Linked DNA regions of Caenorhabditis elegans. The protein of the gene in region 1 purifies or fractionates together with the protein of each later gene. This does not show direct contact. Each region holds a gene or a part of one and is shown in the gene's direction. Other genes may lie near its edges.

Evidence for each region. Proteins that work in one complex are often made in the same cells at the same time.
Region 2: the proteins of rpl-31 (region 1) and rnh-2 fractionate together in Caenorhabditis elegans (co-fractionation; one large-scale study listed by BioGRID). This does not show direct contact.

Annotation. Positions count from the first base shown.
Region 1 is NC_003279.8:13,652,418-13,655,496, reverse strand, and holds rpl-31 (Large ribosomal subunit protein eL31), read left to right. Parts: upstream 1-1,792; 5' UTR 1,793-1,811; coding exon 1,812-1,906; intron 1,907-2,231; coding exon 2,232-2,505; 3' UTR 2,506-2,548; downstream 2,549-3,079. Other genes in the region: sac-2 (SAC domain-containing protein), read right to left, coding at 91-543, 600-1,262.
Region 2 is NC_003280.10:8,515,006-8,518,980, forward strand, and holds rnh-2 (Ribonuclease H2 subunit A), read left to right. Parts: upstream 1-2,144; 5' UTR 2,145-2,147; coding exon 2,148-2,241; intron 2,242-2,302; coding exon 2,303-2,610; intron 2,611-2,659; coding exon 2,660-2,888; intron 2,889-2,933; coding exon 2,934-3,196; 3' UTR 3,197-3,402; downstream 3,403-3,975. Other genes in the region: ctg-2 (CRAL-TRIO domain-containing protein), read left to right, coding at 49-235, 345-630, 856-982, 1,032-1,288, 1,337-1,706; T13H5.8 (Lipid scramblase CLPTM1L), read left to right, coding at 3,505-3,636, 3,680-3,817, 3,866-3,975. UniProt on the Caenorhabditis elegans protein: Catalytic subunit of RNase HII, an endonuclease that specifically degrades the RNA of RNA:DNA hybrids. Participates in DNA replication, possibly by mediating the removal of lagging-strand Okazaki fragment RNA primers during DNA replication.

The DNA of each region.
Region 1 (3,079 bases):
GGTGAGGCTCTCAAAATTTTGTAGTTTGTAGTGTGAAGCCCCACTCAATTCAATTTTATTCGAATTTTATTTTCAATCAAAAAATTTTACTTTTTGAAAATTAAGCCCTCTACAATGCTGATGCAAATCAAACGAGAAAAACGTGACGTCATTATCATCGGCCTTCACACAATGCTCCAGAAACCTCTGAGCCAGCGGAAGCTCTCTGCCACGTTGATCCACGAGGCTTACCGCCACAAGAGGAGTGTCGTAGTGGGCTTTAAGCCGTTTAAAATGCTCCGTGAACACGCCATGCGTCTCCTCCACAGATCTATTGATAATTAGCGGTGGGCGATACTTGAAGCCACGCTGAGACCAGAATACGGGAATCGAGCCGCGGCACTGCACAAAACTGAGCTCATGCTCGAAAATGTTCAAAATGAGCTCAGTTTCCACGAAGTTTGCCACGTTGGAAGCCTCGTCGATGCCACGTCGTAGGTAGCGGGCTCCCGCGCGGCGGGTAGATCGTCGGGAAATTATTGTGATTGTCAGATAGGCGTTTATCTGGAAATTTATTCAATAATCTAATTATTTAATTAATTTGTGGGATTTTTTAATACCTGATCCGTAATTTCCAGCTGACTTGTGGCCACATATCCTTGCATAATTGGGCATGTGAATTTATCGGAAATTTTGGCTTCTCCCAGGTTTCCCACCATCCTCTTATTCCAAAAAAACGAATCCTCCGACGTATGAGCCTCACGCTTCTCGAAATACTTTTGTGAGGATATTGTGACGTCACGGCTTCGACAAAAGTAGAAATCCTTCGAATCATTGAACAGCTTGAGCACATCATCCAGTAAAGCCGGACGGGGCTCGGCTTTTGTCACTTTTTCCGCGAAAAACTTCATTATTTTCTCGGTTCCTTGCTTTAATTTAGTGCCGGAGCCCGGGGTGATTTGAGATTTTATCACGGAGCCATCGGATTTCACATTTATCGCGATAACCCGCTCGATTCTCCGGATTGAATGGGAGCTCTCGGCTGACGTTCCTCTATAACACGCTACCACCGAACTATCGACGACGAAAAACAGAAAATGCTGCTCGTCAAACGATATTTTTCCGATCAAAAACTCGACGTTTCCGCACAAAACCACATCTTGATCGAGGATTTCCAGCGATTCTTCCGGTTTTTCCAGTACTTTCCCATTTCTGCGATCAAATTCCACACGTTCTCCTTGTTCTTCGAGTATTAAAGCTGTTGGTGTTGTGTAAATTATCATCTGAAAACAAAGCGATTTTTTTTTGAAGTCAAGAAGAAGTTGTAACTCACTTTTCCAGTAGTTTTCCGGCAATTTTCCACTATTTACTTTGTAATTCTAACACGCCGATTTCGGAAATCAGCAATTTAGCATTTGGAAATAAAAAATTTGGTCTTTGTTTGTACAAATCGTCCCGTTTTGTGAGTCATCTCGGCGAAAATAAACACAAAAGAAAAATAATGCAAGTATGCTCCGTTGAACTTTCTTAAAGGCGCATGGATTTATCTCGATGGGTCTCGCCACGATTAGGGAATTGCAATGGAGTTTTCCATTTTTATCCTAAAAATTTTTACGCTTTTCCAATGGAAATTTGTGATTTTTTCGTAAATTTTTATTTTTTTTCATTTAAAAAATATTTTTTCAATGTGTAAATCGTATAATTATCATGTTTTCTCTCTGAAATAAAGCTCCTACTATGATTTTTATGCATTTTTCCTTATAATTCTTGTGTTCTCAGTTTCTAGTTTAATTTTAAAATTAAGATTTTTCAGGTAATCCAGTCAAGTCGCGATGGCTCCAAAGAACGAGAAGAAGTCCCGCAGCACCATCAACGAGGTCGTCACCCGTGAATACACCATTCACATCCACGCCCGCATCAGAGGAATGTAAGTTTACACTATTTTCCATCTTTCGCTCAAATTTCCTGCTCACATGCTAACACGTGCTCCACCTGGAAGCGGTGTGTTGGCCCACGCCTGTCATCGCAGCTCTTTAATGAGCAGGTTCTAGCCCGAACCGCGGTGGCCGGACTAACGGAGCTTACCCGCCTCGTTTTCTGGTGAGTGGCTCTCTCCAGAAACGCCGTTCGTTTCTCATTCGAGAATCGGACGGAGATCTCAGGGGCATCCTCAAATTCGGTTGAAATATAGCGGGAAATCAGAGGTAAAAATGATGATTTTGCGAAGTTCTTATCCAATAATGCGTTTTCAGCGGATCCAAGAAGCGTGCTCCACGTGCCATCGACGAGATCAAGAAGTTCGCCAAGATCCAGATGAAGACCAACGATGTGCGTGTCGACACCAAGCTCAACAAGTTCATCTGGTCCAAGGGAATCAAGAACGTTCCATACAGAGTTCGTGTCCGTCTCTCCCGCCGCCGTAACGAGGATGAGGACTCCGCTCAAAAGCTCTACACCCTCTGCACCTACGTTCCATGCACCAACTTCCACGGACTCACCAACGTCAACGTTGACAGCGAGGAATAAGTATTGTTGATTCAATAAAATTGTTGTTACCTTTAATAAAAAAGGTTTTGATTTTCGAGGTTGGGGGAGAACAGAAGCTGTTTCAGAGGTTGCTTTCACTCGAATTTTCTGTCGTTTTTCCCTTGAAAACAGTATTTCTCCTTCGAAAAGGCTCTAGTACGGATTCCTAGTAGTGGGATTTTCAATCGATTCTCGAATATTTGCAGCCACGTGGTCAGATTTGTCTGCTTTAGAGTCCTCATTCAGATTTTTTAAAAAAGTTTCGAATGCTCTCATTTATTCAAACAAAGAATAATCAGTCCTTATCAACCTTGCACGTGGCAACTGGAGCCTTGATGGTAACGTGATCGGCAGAGGCGATGAAGATTTGGAGAAGGATCTGGAATGTTCTAGGTTTACACAAATCCTGAAGAAATTGAAACTTACAGCGATGAGGACGAAGACACGACGGAACATGTTGAGGAAGTGGTGGATGATGGATTTTCGGACAAAAACTGGGAATCTTTTATACTGGAACGTTTATTGCACCCGCGGGGTGCTAAACCATTCGTTTTTTGCATACTTTTTTAGGGGG
Region 2 (3,975 bases), on another chromosome or scaffold:
TATTTCTAACTTTTTATTATTCTCTCACACCAGCTTCTAGCAAAAAAAATGAAATTGACCAAAAAACGATTGTCAGGTGAAAGGATGTCTACAAGTACTGGAGAAATTACTGAAAGTGATCGTAAGCTTCTCGATGAACTCAGAAAAAGGATTCATAAAGAATTAGAATTAGTGAAAGAATATGATGATGATTTTTCACTTATGAGATGGTTAATCGGATGGGATCGAAAAATTGGTAAGACTTTTTGGAATATTGTTTAAACTGTAAATGTTTTTTTTATGAATTTTATGATGGTTTTGAAATATTTCGAAAAAATTGTAAAATGAAATAGATATATTTTCAGATGTTGTGGTTCCAAAAATCAAGTTCTCACTTCGTGCCATTCATGCACTTGGACTTGACCAAGAAGATCTCTCAACACTGGAAAAAGTGGCACAAAAATGTGATGATTGTAGTGTTCCACTTCGATACCTTCCTGGATCTTTAATCGGATTGGATCATGAGAATAATGTGGTCTCTCTTCAAATGATTGGACATCTTGACGCAGCCGGTCTCATGCCAGCCACAAGAAATTCGGATTTATACAGAATGAGAATTGCTGAAAGTGAAGGAGTCATGCAAATTATCAGGTATGCGTAGTTCAAGATAACGTCACTCTAGTCTGTGTGGCAAAAGTGATTGGAATACTGTTTACTCTGTGACTTATATGATAGCGGAAGAGAAAAATTGAAAAATAGAACACTGATATCGAATACCCGAAAATTATATTTTGTCCAGAGATTAAGAAACATTAGTTGCGAAATAAGATGTAGACTACTGTAATAATAATGAAAAATTAGAACTTATACTTTCAGAAAAATGGAAAAAGAGCAAGGAAAACCATTGGGAACATCTGTCATTTTCGATCTTGACGGACTTTCAATGGTTCAAATTGATTTGGCTGCTTTGAAGGTTGTGACTACCATGCTCTCGCAGCTTCAGGTACATTTTCCAGATTAGTCGTATTAAAAATTGAATTGTTTAATTTCAGGAGATGTTTCCTGATGTAATTCGTAAGATATTTATTGTTAATACACCAACATTTATTCAAGTACTCTGGAGTATGATCTCGCCATGTCTTGCCAAGCAAACTCAACAGAAAGTCAAGATTTTGGGAAACGATTGGAAACAACATTTGAAGGAGAATATTGGAGAAGAAGTGCTATTTGAAAGATGGGGTGGAACTAGAAAGGCTGAAACTGAATATGGAAATGTTCGAATGGGTGGCAAGATTCCTGCTGAATTGAAGTAATTTTGCAGAGGAAAATTTATTTGAAAAATAATCCTGTTTTTTAGGTATGACCCGGCCAACGATCTTCCAGCTGAGAAGCTTACCAAACTCAACGTTTCTGCTCGTTCGACAACATTTGTTCCCATTACTCTCGAAGGAAATGTACCAGGAAGAAAACTTTATTGGTGGTGGAGGCTGGAGAATAACGATATCAATTTCTCGATTCTTCGAGCAGCAGAAGGTGAAGAGAAAGTTGCAGAGCATGACGATGACTACATGGTGCATCCAAAATTCAAACTTCAAACAGACTTCGTTCCGGAAGATGGAGAAGTGTGTGCTGCGGAGCCTGGAGTATATAAATTCGTATTTGATAATACTCATAGCAAATTAAGATCTAAAACTGTCAAATATTTTATTGAGGTGCGGAATCCTTGAGGAACCGGTACACACTAGAAAATCGTATTTATTGTAATGTATACTTTCATAACCTATTAAAACGTTTATTTTATCCATCAGCTTATTTGTTGTATTTGCTTTTTAATTTCTGATTTTTCAAAATCATTCGAACGACGTCATAAAGTGCTAGTGATAGCTAATTATACGTTTGAAAGTTTTTCTGTGCATATAAATATGTGGGGTACAGTAATATTGTCCAAGTGTTGTTCGCGACCGAATTTTCCTAGTTATTGTCAATAGAGCGTATCTGCATACCATAAAGAAAAAGCTCGGCCGCATCACAATTTGAATTTTATTTCCACGATTTTTATTTATTTTATGTCATTATTCACTTCAATGTCTTTTTTTCTTGAATTAACCTTCAAAATGTATTATATGAATAGATATTTATTTTTTTTACAATATTTGTTCTCTCAGAGAATGTCACTGAAGTGTGAAACTGAACGAAGCAAAACGTGGAACAATTTCGGGAATGGTATTCCGTGCGTTTTGGGCATTGATGAAGCTGGAAGAGGTTTGTGGAAAATAATAGTCAATAATTGATAATTCAGTAATCTAATATATCCAAATTTTAGGTCCAGTGCTCGGTCCTATGGTCTACGCAGCAGCGATTTCCCCACTTGATCAAAATGTAGAGTTGAAAAATCTTGGTGTCGACGATTCAAAAGCGTTGAACGAGGCGAAACGTGAAGAAATCTTCAACAAGATGAATGAAGACGAAGACATCCAACAGATCATAGCATATGCTCTCAGATGTCTTTCCCCTGAATTGATCAGTTGCTCAATGCTCAAAAGACAAAAGTATTCGTTGAATGAAGTATCCCATGAAGCTGCGATCACTTTGATTCGAGATGCGCTAGCTTGCAATGTGAATGTAGTGGAGGTTTCCTGAAAATATATACAAGCTAAATATAAGGTATACTATTTTTCAGATCAAAGTGGACACAGTTGGCCCGAAAGCAACTTATCAAGCCAAACTCGAGAAATTATTTCCCGGAATTTCAATTTGCGTGACTGAAAAAGCTGATTCACTTTTTCCTATCGTCAGTGCAGCTTCCATTGCCGCCAAAGTCACGAGAGACTCGCGTTTGAGAAATTGGCAATTTAGAGAGAAAAATATTAAAGTTCCAGATGCTGGATATGGAAGTGGATATCCTGGAGGTCTTTTTATTTTATGAATAGTATATTTTATTATTTTTCTTTCAGATCCAAACACAAAGAAGTTCCTTCAATTAAGTGTGGAACCAGTTTTCGGCTTCTGCTCACTCGTTCGATCATCCTGGAAAACAGCCAGTACTATCGTTGAGAAGAGATGTGTTCCAGGCAGTTGGGAAGATGACGAGGAAGAAGGGAAATCACAAAGCAAAAGAATGACTTCATGGATGGTTCCGAAAAATGAAACAGAAGTTGTACCAAAAAGAAATGTGTACTTCAAGGAAAGACATATGAGCAATATTCTAACTTTTTGAATTATAACGAAATACTTACATTTTTCAATATCACCATTCATTTTTATTTTACCATTTTCTTTAACGCGTTTCTGATCTCCTCATATCTCCCTCTAAATATTTCATCACTTTGGTTGTATACCTCAATTTACTTGTAGTATATTCATTTTCTCTTACTTTTTCTGGTGAACTTTTCTTAGATACTCATTGAATAAATTTTGAAATTCTCCGATTTGTATTTAATGAAAGTATCATGAAATTCCGTTTTCACCGGATATTAATATTTGGATGAATCTCTCAAAAATTCTTTCAAAAAGTGATTTTTCCAGATGGAGATAAACCTGACAAAAATTGTGAGCACACTGTTCCTCAGTTTCATGTTCTACAACTTTTTTCAACTTTATAAGCTTTTCACTCCGGAGTTATGTACAGATCAGGATTCTGACGAATTGTGCTATTCGGTAAATTTTTCGATTGAGGCAAAACTATAATAACATTTTATAGCCAATTGTTCAACCCAACCACGAAGGATTGTACGATTTACTACAGCTTCGAGTCTATTTTTCAACGAAAAGAGATGCATTGGAGACACTTATCACGACTGTTGAAAACTTGCAAGTTGCCGATGCCTTCCAGAAAGATGTAATTTTCTAAAATATAGAATAACCTCATTTTATATTTTATTTTCAGCTTCAAGTGAAGATTCCGTCTTCGGTTGCTAAAGATGGCTACCTATATGCACATACAATTTTACTTCCACATAAATTTGATGGTCGTAATCCGATGCAAGCTTCATGGAA